3 linked regions of the Diceros bicornis minor genome follow. The protein of the gene in region 2 interacts with the protein of the main gene of each other region in a pairwise test. Links are inferred from orthologs where the notes say so. Each region holds a gene or a part of one and is shown on either strand. Other genes may lie near its edges.

Region 1 (3,747 bases), on a different chromosome or scaffold from region 2:
GGTTAGGTAAGAAAAATGTTCTTATTCTTAGGAGGTAATAGCTGGCATAATCAGGGGCAAAGTGTTATGATATATCTGCTTTTAACCTTTAAATGGTTTAGCAAAAAAAAAAAGTATGGGGAGGGCCGGCCTCGTGGCTTAGCGGTTAAGTGCGCGCACTCTGCTACTGGCCGCCCAGGTTCAGATCCCGGGCGCGCACCGACGCACCGCTTCTCCGGCCATGCTGAGGCCACATCCCACATACAGCACCTAGAAGGATGTGCAACTATGACGTACAACTATCTACTGGGGCTTTGGGGGGGAAAAAAAAAAGTATGGGGAAAGGGGTGATATAACCACAAAGAGGCAGCCTGAGGGAGATCCTTGTGGTGATGGAACAATTCTGTATCTTGTTTTGTTTTTTTATTTATTTTTCCCCCAAAGCCCCAGTAGATAGTTGTATGTCATAGTTTCACATCCTTCTAGTTGCTGTATGTGGGACGCGGCCCCAGCATGGCCAGAGAAGCGGCGTGTCGGTGCGTGCCCGGGATCCGAACCCAGGCCACCAGCAGCAGAGCGCGCGCACCCAACTGCTAAGCCACGGGGCCAGCCCCAATTCTGTATCTTGATTGCAGAGGTGGTTACAGGCATCTACACACATGATAAAATGACAGAACTACATATACACATTGTATCGATGTCAATTTCCTGGTTTTGATAGTGCACTAGAGTTACATAAAACCCAACCATTGGGGAAAACTGGGTGAAGGGTACATGAGACCTCCCTGTACTGTTTTTGCAACTTCCTACGTATCTATAATTATTTCAAAATTTTTTTAACAAGTTAAGTATAGATAGATGTGTGTGTTTACATATATTATAGAGAGAGGAAGAGAAAAGAAAGAGAGAAAGCAAATGTGGCAACAAGTTAACAAGTGGTGAATGCTGGTGAAGGGTAACAAGTGTTCATGCACTATGCTTTCAATTTTTCCATAGATTTGAAAAATTTCAAAAAGTTCAGACAGTTTTCAAAAATAATATTACTAAATAAATAGTAGTACAGTTGGCACACAGGTATGGCAAATATCGTGAGGGCGGAGCTCATGACTGATTAAAATGTGGAAAATACTAACAAGAGAGCTGCTGTGTAAAGTATTATATGCTGTACTTCATTTAAGCCTCACACAACCCTGTGCCATAGGCTGGACTTTCTACTTTAGTGATGTAGGATTTGTCCGGAATTACTCAGTGAAGCAATGGCTGAGCCAGAGTCCAAGTTCAAGCCCAGATCTCTTTCCCCACCACCACTTTATTACTGCCTCCCTGCAAACTTGCCACCAAGAATACATATATCCTTAAAAACAAATACTACTAGGGTACAACACAAACACTGCAGGCTTCTGACACTCACTTTTGGTTGGTCAGATACCGATCCCAGCCACGAATAATGTTGCCATACATCTGAGTGTCCTCCAGGTAGCTCCCTTCAAACGCATAGATCTGTCTCTCCAAGTTTGCCAGTGTTTCCTGAGAGATGAAAAACAAGGAAAATGGATAATGCCTTTGAAACGCAAACGTTAAGTCTGATCAAACTGAAAACTCAAGCTCAACTACACTAAACCACCCTGGTAGAAAGACGGATCATATGGGGAGGGGCACGCTGCTTCAGACTAAGCCAGTCTAGACCTGTCTTGTTGGATCCCTTTGAGAATAGAATGGAATAGACAGAGCGCGTCCCCAGAAAAATATACACGCGTGCAAAATTGTCCATATATTTCAGAGGGTTCATAGAAACCTAGCTGTCAAGAACCCCGGCTGAGGCAGAACGTGAGCGGTCGCCACTCCCACGCATAAAAGGTACCGCTACCGGGGAGAAGGAAGGCTGCGCAGCCTCCTGCGCCAACTCGCTCCCCTCCCGGAAGGCTCAGAGAGGCCGCCTGCGCTAGGCTGCCAGTTGCTATGGAAACCTGGAAGGGCAGCTTCAGGTGAGATGGGCCTCCCGCTGCCCAAGCCAAAACGCCATGGGGAGGGAGGGCTTAGCCATCAGGGTGCATGGGACCCTGGCTGCATGTCACAATTCATAATTCCCTAGACTGAGCCCGTTCCCCTCGCCTGTCACTTTCTAGATGTTCCCAAACACATCACATCTGCCCATCAAAAACCCCATCCAACGGATCTACTCCTAGTTCCCAAAAGGACATGCGCCCCTCCATCCTCCAAAGGCCAGACTGGATAACAAGGTGCCCCTCCCATACCCGCCCTGGTGCTACCCCACCCGCCCCAAAGCCCACCGGCAAGCCCGAACCAATCTCCTACAGCCCACCGACACGCCCGCCCCAACCCCCAAAGATCGCGGACCCGCCCGCTTTCCCCCAGCCCGCAGAGCTCACGGACACTCGCCTTTCCAGGCTCCCACGCACAAGCCCCCACTCCCAGGCGCATCGTGCCTCCACGCCCCCGCCCGCCCGGCCCCCTCCCCGGCTCCGCGCCCCGCCCCCGGCCCCGGCCCCGGCCCCCGCTCCGCACGGCCGCGACGCCGAGGCGCCGGCGGGCCGCGGAATGCGCAGCCCGGCCTCGGCCACCGGACTCCCGGGGTAACGGCCTGGCGCGGCGGGGCTGGGGCCCGGAGGCGCGCGCGGGCGCGGGGCACCCACCCGGGCGCCCCGAGTGCCAGCCCCTCACCGCCAGCTCCTGCTTCCGCTTCACGAGCTCCGCCAGCTCCCGCCGGGTGTCCGGGATCTGCGGCGGCGCCGCCTTGTTGTGCATCGCCATGTTGGGCTGAGGCGGGCGGCGGCGGCGCCAGCTGGGGGCGGTCCCTGCGCGCCGCCGCCCGCCAGGGGGCGCCTGCGCCGCACTGCGCCTGCGCGCCCGGCTTCCGGAGCCGCGCGCCGCGCTCTCGGCCTCGGGCTCTCGCGCGCCTCGCCTCGGGCGTTAGCGCTCTGCTCCTGGTCGTAGCCGTGTTTCTCCCCTGGCTGGACGTCTGGGCTTTACGGACGCCACGAATTCACCGTGTCCAAAACTAACCTCCTCCTAAGTCGCCTCAGTGAACGACTTGCACTGTCCACCCAATTGCCCAAGTCAGAAACCTGAGTATCATGCTCATTCTCCTTCACCCCCTTAATCCCATGCAAAACCAAATCCTGTGGACTCGACTCCAGAAGAGCCCGCAAATCCGTTTGCTTTTGTCTGCCACCTCCCTCGTTCATCCAGGCCCTCCCTACTGTTGGCTACATTATTCCAACAGCCTCCTGTTTCCACCGTTAGCTCTATTTAGTCCATTATCCACAGTGGTGCCAGAGGATTTGTTTGTGGAAAACAAACGTGGTGTCTCTCCCCTGGTTAAAATCTTTCAATGGCTTCCCATTGCCCTTTCGAGAGACAAGTATGTGCAGCGGTTAAGGACGCAAACTGGAGCCGAAACTACCGTATTCAAAATCCTGCCTCTACCGTTGATCAGCTGTGCCGCCTAGGGCAGGCAGCTAAATTTCATTGTCCCAACTTCCTCATCTATAAAACATAGGTAGTAATGGTACCTACCAAATAAAATTGCTGTGAGGAGTAAATCGCTTAATGTAGGGGCTTGGCAAGTAATAGGGACTACGTATAAGTATTAGCATTTATCTTTAAGCCCAGCATCCTTAACTTTGTTTTCACTTGGCCCCTGCTTCTTCCCCAGCTCTCTCTATTTTTCAGGGTTCTGCAATTTCACTATCGCGAATGGGATTTTTTTTTTTCATTTTTTTTTTTCTTCCTCGCTTGGATATCTTT
Region 2 (3,747 bases):
GGCTGATCTCCTCACACACACAAAAAAAGTATGGTGGGAAGACCAAGGGCATCAGACTCCCTCAAAGTTCTTGTTTAAAACTTACTGAACATATCAGACTCTGAGGGGTGAGGGTGGGGAATGGAGGGTAGCCCCAGGAATCTGCAATTTAACAAGCTCCATAAATGGATTCCCCTGCCCTGTACGGTTTGAGAACATAATACCATGAAATTTACAACCTCAGACAGCCATAAGCAAGGTCCTTCCCTAGCCCTCCTGGCCCCTTGCCATCAGTCAATTGTTGTTGCTATCTCAGCACCCAGGGCCCTGGGAAGGGTCTTCCAAATACCTGCCTCTCACCTGTAATCTAGCCAAGATACTGGCTTTCTTGGAGTTGGAGGAGTAGCTCCTGGAACAGGAGACACTGCAGAATCTCTTGGTCTTGGAGAAGAAGGCTTCCCTTGTACCCACGATACCACACATCTCACAGACAGCTGGGAAGAGAACTTAGCACATGACTCACCTGATGCGGTTACCCCAAATCAAACAAAACGATGGGCCCTTCAAAAGCTGGGGCACTGCATTTACCGGGTTAAGTCTCAGTCCCCCTAAGGCTGGCAGAACTGGAAGAGAAGGAAGTTCTGGGGTGTCCATCTGAACCTATTTCACCCAAGATAAGCTGCTTGGCATCCCTTGGCTACACGTGTCAACAGTGGCGCTAAGGAAAATCCATGAGGATGACAGAGGAAACAGGTGAGGAAAGTTTGCGAAGAGAAAACTGAGAAGGAAAAAAGTGCTCACATCACTTAACTTCTGTGGGTCCATTTTCTTCTCTTCTATAAAGAGACTGAACTAAATCAATGTTTCAACCTTGACATCGTATTAGAATCACTTGAGGAGCTTTTAAAACTGCCCAAGCCTGAGATTCTAATTAGCTGGTCTGTGGTGGGACCCAGGCATTTCCAGTTTGTTAGAAGCTCCCCAAGCGATTCTTTTTTGTGTGTGTGTGTGTGTGAGGCAGATCAGCCCTGAGCTAACATCCATGCCAATTCTCCTCTTTTTGCTGAGGAAGACGGGCCCTGAGCTAACATCTATTGCCAATCCTCCTCTTTTTTTTTTTGCTTTTTTTCCTCCCCAAAGCCCCAGTAGATAGTTGTATGTCATAGTTGCACATCCTTCTAGTTGCTGTATGTGGGACGCCGCCTCAGCATGGCCCAACAAGCGGTGCGTCGGTGCACGGCCAGGATCCGAACCCCGGCCGCCAGTAGCAGAGCACGCACGCTTAACGGCTAAGCCACGGGGCCCGCCCCCTCCCCCCAGGTGATTCTAATGCACAGCCAGGCTAAAGAACCCCTGCACTAGATGGTCTCTAATGGTTCCTTCTAGTTCTAAAGTTCTAAGATTCTAAAAGAATGGTTGAAGAAGATAGAGGGGAGAAAGATAAAAGAAAGGAGAGAGGAAGGGAAGACATGACAAATAGAAAGGAAATAAGATTCAACTGGCAAGAGTATTCTCTTCTGAAAAGTTCAGGTACCAAGCAACAGGAGTGTTATTACAAATTGTCTAGCCGGCCTCTTTTCACAGGCAGTCCACACGCTGGAGGCACTGACAGTGGGGTCCAGCAGCTGTCCAAGATCACAACTCTGAAGCCAAGTGGCTTCCAGATGATCCATGGGGATTCTTATCTGCTCACCTCCACCCTACTCCTCTTACTTGGAGGTCACTTTATTCTATATTTCCCTCCCCCTCACTCCCACCCCGCAAGCTATTTCTTGTCCCTACCCAGATAGTAACCAGAACAAGTGTTCTACCTTCTCAACCTCCAGGCTTAGAAATCCACTAGCTATTCACACAAATGTACAAGCAGCACCATGTTAATGACTGGCATGTAATGTGTGCTAAATAAATACTAGTTGTATGAACGAAATCAGACTACTGCAGAAGAAATGACCCTTGGGGCTACTTGGGATGCTCTGTCTCTCTCACAGGCCCTTAGACATCAGATCAAACAGCCCTTTACACCTGGAGGGCTCTGCCCACATGGCTCTATCCCCCTCTTCCTCCATAGCCTCCTGAAACCTCCCCATCTTCAGGGGGCACTCTGAAGGCACCTGGCTCAGAACCACTGCCATCCAAGGAGCGGGGAGTCCCAGGGCTGAGCAAATGCAGCGGGGAAGTGGGCAGCTCCCCTGCTTCCCGATCCTCATTTTCTGCTTCACTTGACTCCTCTAGGTAGGAGCTGCTCTCACTGCCCGCACTGCTGTTATAACTCCGGAAACTGTCATAGCCACCAAAGAGCTCCAAGTCGTCATCTTCCTCTTCTTCCTCCATTGGTTCTGAAGACGGAGTCTCCTGGTGGAAGGAAACAGGCAGAAGGAATCATGGTTGGTTTAGTGTATGGGGAGGGAGGTGGCAGATCTACCAGCTCCCGTTCCAGTTCTTGGTGAAGTCAACACTCTTGGGCAAAGTGGCAGGCAGAATCAAATACCCCTTTTGCAAACACCAGGATCATTACTCTTGTTTATACATTTCTCAACAGGCAACAGCGACCGCCTCTGGCCCGGGTCAAGCCTAACTACCTCCGTCTATCCATCTTTCCACACTCCGCCCTCCAGCCTTCACTAAAAGGCCTAAAGGGTCCACGAGTGAGGCTCTCGGGGTTCCCCTTCTCAGTCACGATAAGTCCTTCCCCCCTCACCTCGACTCCCCGGGGCTTCTCCATGAGACCCAAGACAGGGTCTTTAACCGTCACCAGGCGCAGGAAGCCATATTGGCCTCGCCGCTCTCGCGAGCGCACTCATTGGCCGTCTCCCAGAGCCGCGGACCAATCACGCTTCAGGAAAGAGGGAAAGCTGGTTCCGCGCTCGCTCGCGCCCCTCCTCCCCGGGGGCGGGAAAGCCGCGGACGCTTGTGGGACTTGTAGTTCCCGGGTGCGTGCGCGTGGAGCGGGGCGTTGCTACAGCGACGTGAAAATCCCGAGCTCGGGCCTTCCAGCGGCTGTTGCGGACAGTTTTCCTACCTCTACGTCAGCGTCTTCCCTTCACCCCTACCCCATCCTTCATTAAACAATTATTGAGCACCTACGGTAGTCAGGTACTGTTCCAGGCTGCAGGGATAACCTCGCATTCTCCCTGATTAGAAATTTCAGGTGCCGTTGGGCCGGAATGCCTAGCAGAGAGACTCATTTCCAATTCAGGCCGACTGGAATACTCTTATGCCCAATGCTGTAGATGTCCTGCATGCTCAAAATCCTGCAACACTCGCCCTCCGTCACCATCTTCTAAATAAAACCTGGACTATGAGGCTCGCCACCTCGTCGCGTTTGGATTTCCCACAACCTTCTTACACGCTGGGAGCTCTAGGCATTCTTGTGGAGCTTTACAAACATCTCAAATCCGCAGACATCCAATCATCGTTTTAAAGATGAGGCAACAGTGGCTGTTAGGGTTTAGACACTTTCCAAGATCACATAGGACTGGAATTTAAGATTTAGTCCAAGTTCTTTGCCTATGCTATGCTGTGCTCCAATTAATTAAGAAATTAAATGTAATAAGTGGAGGCTGAATATATGTTAAATATATTTCTAAATTTGAGGTTCACCACATAGATGTGAAAATCTTCCTTAATTTTTTTCTTTCCTTCAATCCCTTCTATCCCCAACCCCAATATCCACATTATGGACAAGTACTGTTGGTTCTTCTACCTCCAAAATATATCCTGTACAGGCCGGCCCGTGGCTTAGTGGTTAAGTGCTCACACTCCGATGCT
Region 3 (3,747 bases), on a different chromosome or scaffold from region 2:
GCTCTGCCCTTGCAAGCAAACAAAAGCTTGTGGTGTTTGGAGGCTCCGCACCAACATCTCAAGGTGCTGTAGGTCCTGGACCAGCAGCCACCCTACACCAGCCTATAACAAGAGCAGCTGAGGCTCTGGGAGAGGAAAACCAGCAAGCAGTCGGGAGGAGCACGGACCACGCTAGCCCAAGCGAACCCGAGCCTTACAAACTGGTCAGACTCAAGAGGCATGCACAAACTGGAGGAGGGGAGAGGGCATCTAGGGAGCATCAGGGGTTGGGGGGACAAGCTAAAGTCCAGAGAGGCAGGGTGGCCCCCCGAGCACGCCTTGGCAACCTGGTCGATGCCACAGGCAAGTACCGGTCCAGGTAAGAAAGGTCTGGCCTCCCGGCCCTCAGGAGCGCGCGCGAGATCGCCAGTTCAGGCCGCGGGAGGCGCCTCGGGCAGATGGAGAAGCACACGCGCCGCCACCCCCCCGCCTCACCCGGCTGCTCACCGGTGCTGTAGCCCCACGAGTCCCAGAGTGATCACATGCGGCACATCTAGCTGCGTGGGCCACTCTCCTGAGGCGATGCACCCGAACACGCCACATTCCTCTCGGATCCCCAACTCCTCCAGCTCCATGTCGCCGCCAAAAGCACGTGGAAGGACCTGCCGCTGCAGCAGGGGTCTAAGCACTAACCACCCGCCCGCTTGGCCCGAACGCCTCAGAAGCTCGCGCCCGCGAGAGCTTCTTCCTTCACAGCGGTTAGACCCTTGCTACTGCGGCGGCGCGAGCTTTGCCTGAGAGAGCGTGATTAGCTCCCCCCCATCACCCTGCCCCGCCCCCTCCGGGCCCACCAATGAGCGAGGACGGAGGGAGAGGCTCTGCGGCTGAGGGCGGAGTCTCGGATTCTGTGGGGTGGAGCTAGTCCTCCACCAGAGGCCTAGGGGAACTGATTTTTCTGCACGTGGAAATCTCCGTTATTTTCCAGAGCCTAATGCGGGGGTGATGAGACTAGCGGGGTTAACATCATTTCTCTCCCAGAAGATATAAACTTTGCGTGCCCTCCCCACAGGCTTTTCCCCGCCCGTCACTACTTGGTACGCTCCAATCTGTGACCTGCACGCGCTGCGGAAATGGGGCCCGGGTCGCGAGCTGCTGTAGAATGGGGAGGGGCTTCCAGTGCGCGCCACATTTCACCTTTCCTGCCACAGCGCCCGCGCGGGCGGGGGGAGGGTCTGCGTTGCTGCGCTTGCGCGGCGGGAAACCTAGGGGAAGCGCTCGCTGCCGGAGTGTAAGTTCCTAGGTGTCTGCGGAAAGGCCCAGGGTTGTGCCCTTGCTGTGGTGCTGGCAGAGAGCGCGGGTGGGCGCTCCGGAGGCGTGTCTGTGAGCGTCTCTGGCCACTCCTCTTTTCCAGAGTCCTGCCTCTCTTCCTAGCGCGGCCGCGGCCCCGAGCCCACGCAGGATCATGGCGACTGCTGAGGGTGAGTAACAGGCTTCCATAGGAGTACGCCGGGGCCGCCCTGTCCTCCTCGGTCTTCGCGTCCCCCGGCCTTGAGCTCGCGGGCTCGCGCGGACGGCATCCTTCCTGGGGCGGTGCTGGGTCTCCCTGCAGCGGCCCCTCTAGGCGGCGGACACGTGGCCCAGGTTCCGCCGAGAAGTGCGTTGAACAAAGCGCTCCCGGGCCTCTCCGAACTTGCTGCAACACCCACAGCTGCCCCCGGGATGGGGAAGAAGAACGAGAAATGGCCAGGGGTTGGAGAGGTGCCTGGAAATGGCGTTTGTAATCAGTAGATGTTGTAAAACAACCACAGGAACCTCTAGTGTTGACTCTTCAAACCAAGGTCTTGCTTTTCTTGTTAGGTTAATAGTAACCTGCTATTCCAGCAAGTTAATAATTGAGCCTTCCAAAAATCTTGCTGTTTTCTGTCCAGATTTTGTGTGTGTTTGTTAAAGTAATCTTTTAATGCCATGATGGCTGTGGAGAGCTCCAAAACCACCAGGCCAAAAAAGTTTTCCTTGCTTCAGTGTGCATTTATCATGTTTACTTATTTACGTAATCATTTTGTGCGTGAGTGGTCAGATCCTCGGGAACGATCATTTGTGCCATTTATGCTGATAAAACGTTTGTTTTCTCCACACACTCAATTTCTAAATTTGTGGTGAACCAAATTGCTGGTGTTGCCCAGTCAGTACGTTCTCTTCCAGGTAGAAAATTTGAATTTAGGTAAAAAATTACAGACTAAACAAAAAGCTCCAGATGATCACGAGTAACAACTCCGTAAAATCAAGGTATTAGACCAGAATTTTTCCTGCCATGCCTCTAAACTGGTAGAATCTCTGAGCTTTTGACTCTTCCATCTTACGTATTCTTGACAGGTTAATATTTCTAAGATTTCACTTTCATGGTTCCTAAATGGCACTTCCTTGCTCAAAAATGTTCAATAGCAATCTAAGTGCTGTTAAAATCCATTCTGAAGACACTTTCATTCACATCCTGCGTACTGCTTGCTTCCAACCTCTTCAGCCCTAACTTTAATTTTTCTCTCTTGTGAATCCTAAGCCTACATTCCAGTCAGGTTAATTCAACAAGTTTACTCTTCTCTATGTTTATTATACTGTTTCTTCTAGAACAGTCCTCTCTAATAGAAATATAATATGAAACTATATGTAACTTTGTTTTCTAGTAGCCACATTTTAAAATGTAAAAAGAAACAGGTGAAATTAATTTTAATGTGTTTTATTTAACCTGATATATACAAAATAGTATCATTTCAACATGTAATCAATATAAAAAATTGGAATATTTTGCATCCTTTTTTTCCATATTGCAATCCATTGTGTATTTTACACTTAACTCACATCTCAATTTGGAGTAGCCACATTTCAAGTGTTTCATAGCCACATGTGGCTAGTGGCAACCTTATTGCACAGCGCAGTCCTAGATGTTCTTACCTCTTCTGTGGAGGTTCTTTACTTTTCAAGACTCTAACATTTCAATTCCACGAATTATTCTCAGTCTTCAGCAGTCTCTTCTGAATTCATCTATGAATTTGTAGCAGGCATTTTGGCACTTGTAGCATATGTGTCCTATGATTGTTTCTTACGTTATTTCTACCCATTAATTGAAATTCCTACCCTATTTATCAACTACATAATAAATATTGATTCAATTAAATAGGGAGAGAGGGGCAGGAGGTACAAACTTTCATTTGCCTTTTATCTAACCTAGGCAACATCCTTAACTCTTTCTTCTCTCTCTTTTTTTTTTTTTTTGGTGAGAAAGATCAGCCCTGACCTAACATCCATACCAATCCACCTCTTTTTGCTGAGGAAGACTGGCCCTGGGCTAACTTCCGTGCCCATCTTCCTCCACTTTATATGGGACGCCGCCACAGCGTGGCCTGACAAGCGGTGAATCCGTGGGCGTCTGGGATCCAAACCTGGGCCACCAGCAGCGGAGCGCACACGCTTAACCGCTGGGCCACGGGATCTGCCCCCAACTCTTCCCTCTCTGTTATCCTCCATATTGAATCAATTGTTCTTAAAATGTTTACCTTTTAAATATCTTGAATCTTTTGCCACTGCTTTTTACTTAGACCAGGACATTTCTTGCCTTGATTGCTGCAATAGCATGCTAACTGCTCTCAGTCTCTAGTTTTCTTCCACCCACCCCTTCCTTATTTCATTCTCCGCATAGCACTCATAATGATCTTTTTAACACAGAAATCGGTCATTTTACTAAAGTGCTCAGAAGTCACATGGAGAAAGTCT

What was found.
Region 1: the proteins of L3MBTL2 (region 2) and MEAF6 interact in binary tests that used the Homo sapiens proteins (3 or more experiments, as listed by UniProt). The two-hybrid records come from large-scale screens. The link is inferred for Diceros bicornis minor from reciprocal best matches to the Homo sapiens genes L3MBTL2 and MEAF6.
Region 3: the proteins of L3MBTL2 (region 2) and PAICS interact in binary tests that used the Homo sapiens proteins (3 or more experiments, as listed by UniProt). The two-hybrid records come from large-scale screens. The link is inferred for Diceros bicornis minor from reciprocal best matches to the Homo sapiens genes L3MBTL2 and PAICS.

Annotation. Positions count from the first base shown.
Region 1 is NC_080752.1:51,572,368-51,576,114, forward strand, and holds the start of MEAF6 (chromatin modification-related protein MEAF6), read right to left. Parts: upstream 2,782-3,747; 5' UTR 2,752-2,781; coding exon 2,662-2,751; intron 1,507-2,661; coding exon 1,391-1,506; intron 1-1,390.
Region 2 is NC_080764.1:9,162,652-9,166,398, forward strand, and holds the start of L3MBTL2 (lethal(3)malignant brain tumor-like protein 2), read right to left. Parts: upstream 2,784-3,747; 5' UTR 2,702-2,783; coding exon 2,678-2,701; intron 2,332-2,677; coding exon 2,091-2,331; intron 474-2,090; coding exon 340-473; intron 1-339. UniProt on the Homo sapiens protein: Putative Polycomb group (PcG) protein. PcG proteins maintain the transcriptionally repressive state of genes, probably via a modification of chromatin, rendering it heritably changed in its expressibility.
Region 3 is NC_080747.1:44,044,399-44,048,145, forward strand, and holds the start of PAICS (bifunctional phosphoribosylaminoimidazole carboxylase/phosphoribosylaminoimidazole succinocarboxamide synthetase), read left to right. Parts: upstream 1-1,001; 5' UTR 1,002-1,073; intron 1,074-1,390; 5' UTR 1,391-1,441; coding exon 1,442-1,457; intron 1,458-3,747. Other genes in the region: PPAT (amidophosphoribosyltransferase), read right to left, coding at 487-614. UniProt on the Homo sapiens protein: Bifunctional phosphoribosylaminoimidazole carboxylase and phosphoribosylaminoimidazole succinocarboxamide synthetase catalyzing two reactions of the de novo purine biosynthetic pathway.